Linked DNA regions of Mytilus edulis. The protein of the gene in region 2 purifies or fractionates together with the protein of the main gene of each other region. This does not show direct contact. Links are inferred from orthologs where the notes say so. Each region holds a gene or a part of one and is shown on either strand. Other genes may lie near its edges.

Evidence for each region.
Region 1: the proteins of RNA-binding protein 42-like (region 2) and SERPINE1 mRNA-binding protein 1-like purify together in Homo sapiens (affinity purification with mass spectrometry; 3 studies listed by BioGRID and IntAct, with this or other methods). This does not show direct contact. The link is inferred for Mytilus edulis from reciprocal best matches to the Homo sapiens genes RBM42 and SERBP1.

What each region holds. Positions count from the first base shown.
Region 1 is NC_092344.1:122,518,236-122,526,502, forward strand, and holds the start of SERPINE1 mRNA-binding protein 1-like, read right to left. Parts: upstream 3,348-8,267; 5' UTR 2,934-3,347; coding exon 2,708-2,933; intron 804-2,707; coding exon 659-803; intron 1-658. Other genes in the region: uncharacterized protein, read left to right, coding at 3,465-3,720. UniProt on the Homo sapiens protein: Ribosome-binding protein that promotes ribosome hibernation, a process during which ribosomes are stabilized in an inactive state and preserved from proteasomal degradation.
Region 2 is NC_092348.1:78,620,074-78,628,146, forward strand, and holds the start of RNA-binding protein 42-like, read right to left. Parts: upstream 3,235-8,073; 5' UTR 3,130-3,234; coding exon 3,077-3,129; intron 537-3,076; coding exon 325-536; intron 1-324. UniProt on the Homo sapiens protein: Binds (via the RRM domain) to the 3'-untranslated region (UTR) of CDKN1A mRNA.

The DNA.
Region 1 (8,267 bases), on a different chromosome or scaffold from region 2:
ATCAGTCAATGATTAATGTGAAAAATGATATTTATTCTGTCTGGATGATTTTTATCCCCAATTGAATTTATAATAAAATTGATTATTGCTATTTTATAGGGTTATTGCATGAATAATGGGGAATATTGTCCCGAGTAGAATTTTATATTGCACGAGCTTGCGAGTGCAATATATGTTCTACGAGGGACGATATTCCCCAATATTCATGCAATAATCCTTTTATTGTATAGCAATATAATATTTAAAGTAAAAATTGGTTTAAACTAAGATTTTGTCGTTGATGACGTCACGAATTTTGAAGACTTATTGCACTAGTGCAATGTTAAAATTTATTGCACGCTAACTTTTGGTTACTTTCTGTTGGAAATAATATATTGCTATACAATAATACTAAATATTCTTTTATCTTACTGACTGATAATTTCCTTCCAATGGAGTCGAGCGATATGAAAAATTATGGCTAGAATTTAAGGGAGTATATATGCCTGTTGTCAACGAAATTAACAACATCCTCTGACCTCATAGGTTAAATAGCGACTAACAGATTATAATTGGTCATCTCAACTTGATTGATTTTCTAAATTTCGCTATACAGACTTAAGTGAGAAAATCAATCTCGATGATGAGATGATCAACGATAATAATCTATTTCTTATACCTTGGTTCATTAGTCATAGATGAGTTTTCTTCAGGTCTTCTTGGCCGTCTGTCTTCCCTTGGTTCTCTATTTTCTCTGTTCTGTCTAGCACTCCTTGGAGGCCTTTCATTTTGCTGAGTCCTCGCTTGGGATGGGACCACCTTTTCTGTAATTGTAATAAATACTGTCTTATAAAACATACAATGATAAATTCTGAAATTTCAAAATGAACAATCCCAAGAATAGGGGATCTTGTAAATTTTTTCCATTATAAGGCTCAATTTTTTTTATTAGGCCTGGTTGAAATGAATTATCTATTAAAGGTATTCCTACATAGTTACTTTCTTTTGTTTGTGTGCCCACCAATACCATAAACAAAGTTGTCTTTTTTTAGTCATGGCGTTGTCAGTTTTAGATTTATGAGTTTGACTGTCCCTTTGGTATCTTTCGTCCCTCTTTTATAACTATGGGTCTAAAGCTCAAATTCAAATCAACAAAAAACTTCCTCTTAGCTTACACATTGCATGAATAGTACTGGATACATGTGTGGTAGAGTGGAAACAAAATTACTAAAATTCTTCCTTAAACTGTCCCCAGTACACGGATCGCACCATCATTTTCTATGTTCAGTGGACCGTGAAAATGGGAATCCCCATTTAGGCATTAAAATTAGAAAGATAATATCATAGGGAACATGTGTACTAAGTTTCAAGTTGATTTCTCTTCAACTTCATCAAAAACTACCTCGACCAAAAAACTTAACCTGAAACGTGACAAACGGACGCAGACCAGAAAACATAATGCCCATAAATGAGGCATAAAAATGCAATTTGGAAAAGAATTGTTTTTTTTTACTTTACTCTCATTTTTGTTTTTAAACAGTTTAGCCCACAACTATAATGGTTTTGTTGTAGTATAATGCAAATTTACTTACAAATATAATTTGATCTCACTCAACTATTTTTTGTTTGTGTGTGTAACCGGAGAGCACGTATCGTATCGAATCGTCACCACCGGGATTCGAACCCCGGTCGTCTGGGTGACAGTCAGTGCGTTAACCCACTGAGCCAAAGAATCGATTCCCTAGCTCAGTTGATTAAGACTGGCTATATATGTTCTACCTGTACTAAGGGGAAGCAACCCCGCTACACTATTCCCCCACCACAAGAGTCATCATATCTTCATATATGACTCTTAACAACACAAACCCTGGCTATACTCCAGATAACCATCGTGGATTTTTTTAGTTGGGCGCCAATGTAACCGGAGAGCACGTATCGTATCGAATCGTCACCACCGGGATTCGAACCCCGGTCGTCTGGGTGACAGTCAGTGCGTTAACCCACTGAGCCAAAGAATCGATTCCCTAGCTCAGTTGATTAAGACTGGCTATATATGTTCTACCTGTACTAAGGGGAAGCAACCCCGCTACATGTGACTGAAAAGCTGGTAATGTAAGTGCAGTTTTCTGGCAGTTCTAATATAAATTTCATTTTTTTTGTGGTCTTTCGCAAAAGCTGGTTTCTTGTCCATCAGTTCATTTAACAGAGATTTAGCAATTTAGACAATCAAAAATAGCTAAATTTATAAAATCTATATCTGCATCAGAAGCAGCTGATCAGAAGAGTTGCATGTTTAATCAATTGCAATATTTTTTTACCATGTTGCGTCACAGTATTTACAACCAAAAACTACAAAAACCTTCATTTGTTTTGTACCCCACCTTAAGTTGCATACAACCGTATTTCCCTGCAAGACTGTCCTTAATATAATAGAAGTAGGTTCAGGATCAGAAAACATGGTGGAACATAACTAGTAAACTACATAACCAAACATGGTCAAGACCACATGATAAACATAACTTCAACATCATTGCAAAATATATATTTATCATCTGGTACAGATGGTAACCAGTTTTCATACATATACACGTGAATGTGGAGGGGGGAAACAAATATAACGAAGTATTTTGGACTTCAAGCGTGTTATCTGTGAACAAATGTCAAACGGGTTACCTAATAAACAATCAAGACAATGCAAATAATCATTTCTGCACGATAGAATTATTACCTTCTTTCTTTTGTGTGTTTTGCTCTGTCAATTTAGTCTTGTTATCAGTTTGTGGTGCTGTCTTTTTTGTCTTTTTAGTTGGTTTGGACTTGTCAGCTTTCTCCTTCGCTAAAGCCTCGGTTCTCTTCTGTTCCTCTTGCTTCAGGATTTCATATGGATCGACATCATCATCGTCGTCAAAAAGACAGAACTTATTAGTCACTGCTATGCCGTATTGCGAGTCCATTGTTCCTCTTGATGCTGAGGATGGCAATGGATTTTTACGGCCTTACTTTTTAAGGTGCTACAAAATGGCGTGTTTCTCTCCAGACAGTATGAGCATGCTTTGGAATTAGAATATTCGGAGGAAAAATCCTTCCTTAGTTGTAACATAAAAACCCGAGAGTCTCGACAGTTCAAGGTTGTTTTCAAGTTCCATATTTAGAAATTTGGCGGGAGTAAGTCATAGAAATTTTATAGCCTCTGTTTTGCCACTAGTTTTCTCGCAGTTTAAACATTTAAGAGTACATTGAATAACTAAAGTCTTCATGCATATTATAATTCAGCCTATAACTAAAGTGTTTTTAAGAAATTGTAATTTATATCCCACAATGCATAGCAACGACGGGGAAACCACGAAATCCTTTTTTTAAATCTATTTTTATACCACATACCCGATTGGTGGAGTTCAGTTGGCACGATAACGGGTTTATACAGGTAAGAATTAAATACCTATGAACAAGGGTGACACAACGAAAGGTAAAGAAGTGATTTAACCATGCCGTCGTGGGGATTTAAAGATGAAAGTAAACCAGAATCTATAATTGAACCAGCATCAAATATGGATAGGAATTCCCCTGATGAAGATTCAGCTGATTTGGAAGATTATATGAAGAGAGGACGTCCGAGGGCCGAGCTAATCACTTCATTGATCTTCAAAGGTGCAGTGTCCCATAGTGGAATACGTTGTCATGTGTGTAATCGGGTTTTTCCTCGAGAAAAATCTCTCCAAGCTCATATGAGAACGCATACAGGTCAGTATTTATTTTATTTTACTCATTGAAAAAAAAATTTGTATCCTATATGTTGATAATTGACTATTTATATACTAACCAAAAAGTGTCAAACTTTTGAAATCAGAAAAAATCTTGACTTTCAAAGCAACTATTTGACAGTTCCATGGAATTTAAATTTATTGTTACCATAAACATCAATGTTTTCAGAAGAGGGTACTGATTGGAAATTATTCAATTGCTACAGTTGGAATAGTTACGGTACATTGATCGACCATTTAAGTATAAACATGTACAGTTGAAGTTATGTAACAAATGTAATTTAATACGGTAAAAGGTTGACAGGTAATGAAATGAAAAGTAGAATCAGGAATATAATATTTGTGAAGTGCAAACCACGTTGTAATGTTATTAATATTAATCTTTGTTTACATCTATATTTGTTGCAGACATTTAAACCTCCAATTTAAATCTACTACATGTACGAATATTTCCAATCAAAATTTAATTGGGGTGATATTTAAATGGCCGATCGATCAATCGTTGATCCACTGTGTCGTCAAGCAGACAGGTAATAGGAGATCAAACAGTACACCATTATCTTCAAGCTTTAACATGCTACCTGGGTTTTTAACAAAGTCCCGCCCCTTTCTTTTCGTCATGGTCGAGGTCCCGTTACACGCATGTTAAACCACTAAAGAGCACTTTGTCTCAATCCATTTGTAACGGGTTTCTTTAGCAACAACGAAATAAACAAACACAACACAAAATACCTATTTACAAAGACAAGAGATGTGTTTGAACGCGTCCCAGTATTACACCTATATTGATCACGGATTTTACCTGTGTAAATCGTCTTACCTGATTTTAGTGGTGTTATTTTTCACTCCCGTACTTAGTCTTTCTTTCACCAAATTCTACCCAACAAATGTTAGAAATTTTCAATATTTCAAGCCTTTAAATTCATCATTTGGGACATTTAAATTTATCACCGTATGTTTTGAGGTACAAATAAAAATTTAAATGCTCAATATCTTTTTAAACCGAAAGTTGCACTTTCAGAGACATTTAAATTTTAGAGCACGTGTAAAGACATTTAAATCCTATTATTATACCTTTTAATTTTGTTTTCAGCAGCCGAGAAGGTCCATTTAAAAGTTTTTATTGGAGTAAAAGGGTATTCCCTCATCAAGCTATTTATAAATTCTACATCATATATACCCGGAAGGCTGGTCACAGACCAATACACAAATAAGATCCGTATGTTGTCAGCATATTTTAAACATACCGAGCATGTTATACTTTTTGATTGTCAAAACTTGTTCCATTTCGTCAGTTTTAACCCGTGATCACTAGTCCCACACGATGTTTTATACTATATATAAAATAATAGATGTCGACGGGAAAGGGGGAGGGGTGAACATTCTTATACTATGTGTTTTCCTCATCTGACCGTCTGTTTTATTTATTGCCGATGAAAAACGAATTTGAAAGTGGGCAATACTAGGACCTTGTTATTTTTTATTGTAACTTTCAAAAGTTTGATCCAGTGAAGAAAAAAAAATTACATTACCCTAAATAATTAAACAGAACAAAATCAGCATATGACAATGCCTTCGATATTTGCCTCTTGTGTTATTGAGACCCATTAGGCATTTTGAAAGACTAATAACTTGATATAAGAAACCGTAGGTACACTGTACATGTATCTTTAGTCTTTGAGGTTGCCCAAACTACAAAACATTGTCTCTTTAATAGGTACAAAATGTCATATGAAATGTCCATTTATTATACTTTAGACAGTCGAACATTTTCAAGATACATTTTATTTTCATTCAAGAGATGTGAAAAAAACACCACGAAAGCTTACATTGTATCCCTGCTCTCCCTTTGGGATTCTAAAGTATATTTTTGCTTCCATTAACCATTTCAGTGTATTCTGGTTTTGATGCTTTAGGTAGCAAAACGTCTTAAACGTATATAAAACGGACACCTAAAACACCGGACTAAGACGAAGACAACATAAGTTTGTATTCTTGTGTTGTTGGTTTTTAAAAACTATTTTCATGTATTCGGAGTCGTGGACTTTCTATCTTTCCCCCCTAAATAGATAGCTTATGTGTATAGCCCCGAAGCTCTTTATAATAGCGTATAATTGTACTCTTAACGGGATACATGATTTTACTGTTAGCAATCAATTAAAATGTGTCTATACTGTTACAACACTAATAGGTAAATAAAGTATGAAAATAATTTTAATTTCATCAGGGCTATTGTACTGAGCCATTTCTTCTTGCGAAATGAACCGTAATTTCGTGGAAATGTTTTACAGGTGACGTAGTTTCGTGGAATATAACTACCTGTATTACAGAATTTGTTCTCGACAAGATGTTATGCAATACTGTTGGTCAATATTTATTGAAGTTTGAAAAGTTGGATTGTTTAATAAACCAATTTATAAATAGGTCGTAGCCCAGTCAACTGGAAAGCAAATAAAACTCCGTTATTTTGTTGAACTGATATTACTGCAATTTCACATTCTGTTTAGTTTTTCGGCTTTCTTTTTAGTTTACCTTTTTATTTGATCTTTTTATATTTATAATTGTGCAGATTTAGTTCAATTCTAATGACTCATGGTTCGGTAAACAGAATCTTAAAGTTAGTTGGTTTACTGGATGTTCGTATAAAAAGTTGAAATGGAAGAACATTGAATTGATTTTAGGCTGGAGGTTTATGATATTTTACTAACTAAAATATTGAAGTAAAATATCAAGTAATATTTGTGTATTTTTGAATGGCCTTTGTATGACTAAGTAAGGTTTACGAGTGATTAAGCAGGATAGGCCAAGGACAATGGAAGATATAGTTAGCTGAACCGTTATTGTTCTGGAGTTTTTTGTCAAGTGTGTGGTGTACATTTATTCCTTTGAACACGCAGTTCGCAGGGTATCTGTTCGGATTACTAACAAAAGATTACAAAATTCTGAAATGTTAACAATTACATGCCCGTTATTGCACACACTCAAACATTAGGCTCACTAAAATTATTTTTAGCATCACGATTACACAATATACATGCTTGCATTAAAAAAGGATATAAAACTTGCAACACCACCTTTCATAGGGCTTCATAGGATCCGATCAGAAAAGCTAAAAATAAATACCAAAGAAAATATTTTTTCGTTTATTAGTTTGGTTATAAATCTGTTCGTTTTCCCCCCGTTTGAAATTATTCACATTTTGTCATGTCGGGGCCTTTTATAGCAGACTTTACAACATGGTTTTGAAGGTCGCATCAACTATGGTGACCTACATATTCATATTTGAATGCATGCTTAAATACACTTTGTTGTACTCTGTTGGATATAGTTGTCACATAGGCCATCCTACCACTTCTCCTGTTTGTATATCACACCACCTTCCTTAATTTCATATTAAACCACATCTCCTTTTTTTTTTATATAACATTACACAGTCTTATATCAGAAACATATTAAAACCGTTAAACAAATGATTATAGGGTAGGTCAGTGTTTTTTTGTTATCCTCATTTTTTGGGACTAATACATTGATCGAATGTAGTACCAAGTCGTTTTGTACTTGGAACATTTGTGCCAGTTTATACCTTGAACATTTGTTCCAGTCGTTTTGTACACCGAACATTTGTCCAAGTCGTGTTGTACCTTCAGCAATTGTACATAAAGTATTGGTTCTAGTCTTAAATTTATGTACCTTGACCATTCGTTCCAGTCGTTTTGTACCCTGAGCTTTTGTCCTAGTTGTTTTGTACCTTGAATATTTGTCCCAGTCATGCTTGATTTGAGCATTTGTTCCATGCAGTCGTTTTGTACCTTTGGCATTTGTCCCAGTCGTTTTGTTCCCTAAGCATTTGTGACATTCGGTTTGTACCCTGAACATTGTGACATTCGGTCTGTATCCTGAACATTTGTCCCAGTCGTTTTGTACCTTGAATGTACCTCGAACATTTGTCCCAGTCATGCTGTGCTTTGAGCCTTTGTTTCATGCAGTTGGTTTGTACCCTGAGCATTTGTGACATTCGGTTTGAACCCTGAATTTTGTGCCCGAGGGTATCACAGTCCAGTAGTCAGCACGTCTCTGTTGACATGAATATCAATCACTTGGTCATTTTTATAAATTTCCTGTTTACAAAACTTTGATTTTTTTGGAAAACTAAGGATTTTTTTTATCCAAAGCATATATTACCTTAGCCGTATTGGGCACAACTTTTTGGAATTTTGGATCCTTAATGCTCTTCAATTTTGTACTTGTTTGGCTTTATAACTATTTTATATTTATTCCTGAAAACTTTGATAACTATTGTGACATTTGGTTTGTACCCTAAGCATTTGTCCACGGCGTTTTGTACCTTGAACATTTGTCCCAGTCGTTTTGTACCTTGAATATTTGTCCCAGTCATGCTGTGCTTTGGGCATTTGTTCCATGCAGTCGTGTTGTACCTTTAGCATTTGTCCCAGTCGTTTTGTACCTTGAGCATTCGGTGATAATTATAATTTTGTAAGGATTCACTATCAAAACTAAAAGGAAGTG
Region 2 (8,073 bases):
AATATTTTTTCTTTTTATTCGAAATAACATAAAAAGTTCACACTATAAAATAACCTGTGTATATTCAGTGTGCACCACATTTTTTTAAAGTTATTTCTTCAAAGACAGAAAAAATATTACAGTAATTCCTTAAATAGCTATTAACCTTAATTATATACATGTATGTATATTTGACCTGTTACAGTAGCAACCGAGCAGGAATGAATAAGTTAAACAAGACCATTTGTAATTGCATATACCCTTATATAAACAGAATCCAAAATAAGCATAAAATACAATCAGGAATACATGTTGAAGAGGTACAGAACGGTAAAGTATACATACCTGAAGCTGGCAAGGAAACTGATGGTGGTCCTGCAGGCTTACTACCAGGTGGAGCTGTGGGTGGTTTTCTCAAGGGTGGAGGAGGGGGTTGCCCAACAGAAGGAGGATCTGATGATATCCTGGCTTGAACATTGGTGAATGTTCTTGATCCTATTATCATAGGATGCGGCTTAGAACCCTGACCTTTTGGAGCCAATATTTCTTGTTCAAATCTGTAAAAGACAACTTAAGTGTGTCAACTTAAAGTCAAATATCATATTCAGAATTGTTGAACTGAATTCATTGCACTGTAGGGGAATTTCATATAAAAAAAACACTATTTATGCAAAAAGAATAGAAATGTTTACTCAACAAATCACAAAGCTGTACAAGTCATCACAAATCAAAAGCCTCATATTATTTGAAGGATGTGTATAGTGCTATACACAAATCTTTGGTATGCATAACATTTTTTTTGTTTTTTTTGTTTTTTAATATACATTCGACTGTTGTTATCTCAAAGTCAGCTAGACCAGAAAAATATTTACAGATACATGTAGTTAATTTAAAACAAAGACTTGAAGTTTAACAGACAAAAGTACATAAAACCTTGCTTACATTGTAGCTTGTTAAGGCTAAAATAAATCTGGATGAATATAGGTAGGGGATGGATATTCTGGTCACAGATTGATGTATTTGAATGTGATAGTATTTTCTATTATTATAACATTTTTATTTTGGCAGTGTCTGCCCAACCCCACATGAGAGCACCAGTAGTCAAATTGGCATTAGTAGACTACATGTCCCCACATCCAAAATGCCATCTAATGGCACATGAAACATGAAATATACACAGAAATCATCGCAATAAGGGAATAAATGGATTGAATCCAGACTCTCAAGTTTTTATAAATAATTATATAGTAAGTGAACAGTTTTTTTCTCTGTTAAATAAATATTCTTAAAATGGAATATTGTGATATATGTATATGAGGGGAAGACATTTAAAACTTATAATTTATTGAAATTATTCTTTAAAAACTTATACCAGAATCAAATTTTATCAGTCAAATAACTACATACATTTGTATAAAGGAAACTGAATCAATTGTGCATTAAAACAAAAAAAATCCAAAGAAAAATCATAGTTTGAGAGACTTAATTTCTTTTTAGGTAGAAAATTCCAGACAAATTTGGAGAGGAAAAGGGTATATTTTTTTATTTATAATTTTAAATTGGATTTGCTGCTTTTCATTCCTTAGTCAAGTTTTTTATTTAATTTCTGTTGAATACTCTTTTTTCTAGTGTAAATCATTCATGGAATCATGATATAAAGGAGATCTATATCAACTTTAATACTAATAGCTTCTTTAATTTATGAATACATTCAAGCTTTATTTTCCCTCCTTTTAGATATTTTAAAATTTCAGTTTCTTTTTTTTCATTTTTCTAAAAAAAATATTTTCGTAATGTACATGTTATTTTCTTTTCCAAATTCATAGATACCATATTTATTCCAGACGTTCCTTATTAGCAGATGAAGTATAAAAAAAATCACAATATACTTGGTGAGACTAGTATTGTAACAGCAACTATGTAATATGAAGGAAACAGCTTCCTAAAAGGGTCTCAGCATCATCATGATCATGATTTATGAAGTCAACCATGTAAAATTGTGCCAAAAGAATTGAAATATATTTTTACTGAAACTTGAATTTAAAAGAATGCAAAATAAAAGTTATGTGTTAATTAATTATTAGGCTAAAATAATTGCCTTTTTTTCAGTGACATTAATTAACATGAAAAATTGCACTTTTTCAATGACATTTGCACGTAAAATTGCCCTTTTTCTTACTAGCACCCTGCCCTTTTCAAATCCTGGCTAGAACACTGTATATCATGAATGATGGTTCATTATGTTTGTGGGGTAATCAGTTATACCGCATGTTGCTATATTACAATAGGAAAACACCCGGACGTCCCAAAAATATATAGGTGCTCCTATCATTGGAGGAAACACTACACAGTTGTGTACACACACATGGCAACATGAAACATGATCGGAAATCCATTTGATGATATCTAAACATATTGAAACAAAGTGAAAAATATTGTGTGTCACATGGGCGCTTACATTTGTCACTCTATGCGCCATTTCTGGTTGATAAGCTAAATTGGCACATGGCCCACATCCTTTCTGATCTGACAGTGCTTTACCATTAATTCCCATGAATATTTTATGTTACATTCCTGATCTTATGACATTTTATTATAAAACCAGATGTGGACATGTAGCCTAGGAATGCCAATAAACGTATTTACACTTTTGGTATTTAGCTGTATTTTGCCTCTGAATGACCTAATATCACCTCCGAAATAACCTTCTGACGTCAAACAACAATCACTTTTTAGTTGTGACGTCAAATGTTTTGAATTATGATGTCAAAGTTTACAGGAACCTGTGTGGTTTAATGTAATGGCGGACAAATTTGCATACAAGTGTAAATACGTCTATTTGACTACTCACACAGAAACTGCATTTTAAATTAGTCTCTAACATTAACAGCGTTAACTACTTGAACTAGGGATGTAGATCAGAACATTATGAGCGAGGGTGGAGGGTTCTTTTTTACCCGAAAGGCGTAGTAGAAAAACCAGTTCGTTCAGTATCTGGTAGAAGTAGAAGTAGACTGTGTACATGACATTGTGGTTCTGTATAAAATGTACTACGTATGTAGGGATATTATGACATTTTTTTTATTTTGGTTATTACCGACTCATTTCCTCTTCCATCTCTTTCAATCTCTGGTCTGTTATCATGGCCATTTTGTCTCTTGTTTTATTAGAAATCAACTATATATTTTTTTACAAATTAAACGTTTTGGTTGGTTCGATGTCAAATTTTATCTATGAATATGGAACGTTCATGTGCCCGTTAAAACACTCTAATGACGAAGAATTTCATTTTTCCGAACTGACTAAATACCATAATAAAATGTTTATACAATGTAGGATAATACAGACCCTATTTAAAACATTTTTTTAACGCATATAATGATATATTCTGTGTTTATAGGGCACTACCTGACAAATTCTCATATTTGATTATAACAATGTAAAACATGATACAAATTATAAAAAGTATAAAATTTTACAATTTTACAGGGCTTGGGCTCAATTATATAGCTTCGTTTCAATTGTAGTTTACGCCGGGTCTACTGAGACGTCATCTACTATCGAGTTGACCATCGACATCCTCTGATGACCATATAAGCCATATAAACATAATTATAGATATAAATAGATATTGTGATTAAAAATGATTCAATGATGTCGATTATGCACTTGCAACAGTGGCGGATCCAGAGGGGGGGGGGGGGGGTTCCGGGGGTCCGCACCCCCCCTTTATTTTGGCCGATCAATGCATTTGAATCGGGACATATGTTTGCACCCCCCCTGCACCCCCCCCCCCCCCCCTTTTGCCCTGGGCTAGCACCCCCCTTTCGAAAATTCCTGCATCCGCCACTGTGCAAGTGCATAATTCATCATCAATGTTTCTTAGCTTATTTTGAAAAATGAACCATACTGACTGTCAAAAGCGAATTATTATTTCACTATTTCAGTTTCATTAATGATTAAACACCAAAAAAAATCATAGTTCATTTTTTTATATATCCCGTAGCTAGACAGTGTCCCTTTAGTATTAGTGATTTAAGCGGGCAAATTGCATCTTTCTTTACAATTTAATGAATGGTCCGTATAATTTATCATACATACATGTAACAGTATGCCAACATTTAAACGATGCATTGTAAAACCAAACGACTTCATATGGCTATACAATAATCTAATTTTATGAATTGAATGATTCCTTTCGTACTTTTAAAGGTAATAAACGCGTTGGACGTGCTCATATTTTTTGCTCATCAAAAACGTGTCTTACATATGTAGAAGAGATCAATCAGTATGTTCTTCAATCTAATTTGTTAGTTAGCATTCTACAACTGGACCACGATTTTCCGAGAATTCCCAAAAAAATAAATATTACCGAGGCCTGATATTACATGAAAACTTCATTTTATATGGTGATATACTGCTTCTGCAGATTTTGTTTTCTCTTTCGATGACTTGGTGTACAAGGGCACACTATAATTTTATCATATGACACGGGAGTTCGATTGTTGAAACATGTTTTAAACAAGATTGAGACATTGAATCTCTTCATCATCATCAGGGCTAAGTATCTTAATTTCAATTTACCCTGCTTAACTTTTCAAGTTAAAAGATATTCAGAACTTGCACTTGTATCATGGAATGTATATACCATAGAGTAATATAATGCAGAATACCATTACTGGTAAAACCGAGAGTTGTCCTGCATTAAAGATTCAAATATTTACCTTCTAAAAAGCATTATTTTCAGTAGTGATACGTAAATTCTTAGCGAAAAAAAACTGATCCGAACTTTGCTCAAGCTTTATTACGTTTAAAGGGGCATAGCTTGGACACATGATCTGTCGGCATTTTACTAGTAAATTATCAGATTGTGAAACTGGTGAATCATTTTTTTTGTCCGGTTATAGAGTATAAAAACTTATGTTCCTCTTACTTTTATCTGTTTAATTTAACGTGCACCAAACCAATGACACAGAAATGGCTCCTGACTTAATTAGTACGGGCACATACATATATGCTAGTCGATTGATCTGTGGCATGTTAATACGCAAAATGATAAACATTATTTAGCCTTTGGCTGTAATTGTTCTTTGGTGGGGTTTTTGTCTCTGACATATTCCCCATTTCAGGGACTGTCTATAAATATTAGTATAGAAAGTCCCTGCCATTTCCATTCTCTATTTTATACATATATACAACAACAAAAACAAAAACAAATACTACTATAAAAATCATTCTAATGAGTTCAGTGGAACTGTCATGCAATGTGTTTTAAAAATGAAATGTAATATGATTGTGTTGTACGATTTCCTGCAGTATTGGTCGTTTGGAAAAAGTGATACTCACTAGAGCCACAATGTCAGCTAGCCAACCATTATCAAAGCATTACTCCATGTACCATATTTCGTATGAGTTAAAAAAAAACTACAGAAGTTTTAGAACACCCCACCATCAGCCGAATACGCTTTCATTCGTGTCTAATATACTAGTCAGCTAACAAAACCTTTAAACAGACTTTTTAAAAAGGGCTATAGTAACTACGATACTGTTGTCAAGGTGATTAAAGACTGCGAATTTTGGCTTTAATATTGATTCACTTATAGGGTCTTTGCATCGGCATTAAACACATATTCTAAAACCAGTTGTTGGCATAACACGGGTTATGTTCTTCTCATATATTTCATGATGGTATAAATTGGTCTCTTGTGGAGAGTTGTCTCAACATGGCAATGAGACAACTCTCCACAAGAGACCAATATGACACAGAAATTAACAACTATAGGTCACCGTACGACCTTCAACAACGAGCAAAGCCCATACCGCATACTCAGCTTCAAAAGGCCCCGAACTGACAATGTAAAACAATTCAAACCAGAAAACTAGCGGCCTTATTTATGTACAAAAAGTGAACGAAAAACAAATATGTAACACATAAACAAACGACAACCACTGAATTACAGGCTCCTTACTTAAATGTTCATAATATACTAAATGAAAACTATGTTCATATTGAAATTGATAGAAAACCAAAAATTGGGAATTTTGGAAATAAAGGAGGAGGGATAAAAAAAAAAGTATTTTCCTGTCCCAAATAACCTATCATATATGATATATGATACTTTTGCTGAAATTCTCCAGTCATTCAATATTTTACAAAATTCTTCCAACAACACTTTACATACTTTAAACTACGCTCTGAATGCCCGCGATTTCGCGGGTGTGTTCTAGTATGAACTTATTTGTAGATCGTACTTTGCTGGACATTTTTGCTGCATGTTTACAGTTCATCTTTATCATTAATACTATTCAAAAAAATAACAAAAAACTGCAAAATTTCCTTAAAATTACCAATTTAGTGGCAACCCCAACAATGTTCTTAGATTCATCTGAAAATTTCAGGGCTGATAGAACGTTACCGTAAGAACACTTTTACCTCCTGTCAGATTTGCTCTAACTGCTTTGGTTTTTGAGATATAAGCCAAAAACAGCATTTTACGACTATGTTCTATTTTTAGACATGGCGGACATGTTTTTTGACGAAACAGAAAATAAAACACATTTTTATTCTAGATACCCTAAGGATCATTCAGCTAAAGTTTGGTTTGAATTTGTTTGGTAGATTCAGAGGAGAAGATGTTTGAAATAAGTTTACACCAGACGGATGAAGAAACCAACAAAGGACATCGACGGATGCCAAGTGATGGCTAAAGCTCACAATTGGAACGGTGAGCTAAAAATGATCTGAAGATTTTTGTCAATTGTAATAGATCATAGAAGTAGATCTCGTCTTGCAAAAAAGTTTTGCTCTCAAAGTTTCTCTTTAACTACAGTATAATTTTCAAGATAGTTTTGGTGTAGATGAACAATTAGTAGGTCTAATCATTTTGAACATTTTTCCCCGTCAGTTTTTGTTTACTTACAGTGGTTTTCACGATAATAGATTAAACTTGCTTTTTAACCCTATATTCTTTTTCAGCCATTTTGGCCATTTTGTTTGGCAGGTGGGGGTCATCAGACTGATATATCAAAACAAGATACTTTAATGCTGATAGTGGCCGAGTTTGTCACAAAGTTAAATTCGGCAAATCAGTTTGTAAACGTTAATGATGACAAGTCATGATAAAAGGTCAATCTGTCCCTTGGACCAGGGGAGATAACTACAGGCTCTTAATACAGGCTCTTAAGAGCCTGTGTCACTCACCTTGGTTCATGAGCATATTAAACAAAGGACACAGATGGATTCATGACAAAATTGTGTTTTGGTGATGGTGACGTGTTTGTAGATCTTACTTTATTGAATATTCTTGCTTCTTACAATTATCTCAATTTTAAATGAACTTGGCCCATTAGTTACAGTTAAAATTTACAAAAACTTACAAAATTTACAAAATTATTAAAAATTGACTATAAAGGACAATAACTCCTTAAGGGGTCAACTGACCTTTTTGGTGTTGTTGACTTATTTGTGGATCTTACTTTGCTGAACATTATTGCTGTTTACAGTTTATCTCTATCTATAATAATATTCAAGAATAGATAATAACCAAAAAAACAGCAAAATTTCCTTAAAAATTTCCAATTCAGGGGCAGCAACCCAACAACCAGTTGTCGGATTCATCTAAAAATTTCAGGGCAGATAGATCTTGACTTGCAAAACAATTTAACCACATGTCTGAATTGCTCTTAATGCTTTGGTTTCAGAGTTATAAACCAAAATCTACATTTTACCCCTATGTTCTATTTTTAGCCATGGTGGCCATCTGGGTTGGTTGGAAGGTTCCCCGCACACATTTTTAAAACTAGATACCTCAATGATGATTATGGTCAAGTATGGTTAAATTTGGCGCAGTACTTTTAGAGGAGAAGATTTTTATTTATGAAATCTGAAATGATAAAAATTTAACCCCCCCCCCCCCCACCCATTTTTTTTCACATCCCCCTTTCCCTTTTTCCAAAACTGATCTCAATTCAAATTTCTAATGGAGTTTGCAACAATAACTACTCATTTAAATACATCATAAAATATTAAAATGTAAAATAAAGTGCTTGTTATCACTGAATGGTAAAGATTGTTTTAATTTATCAGTTGGTAGT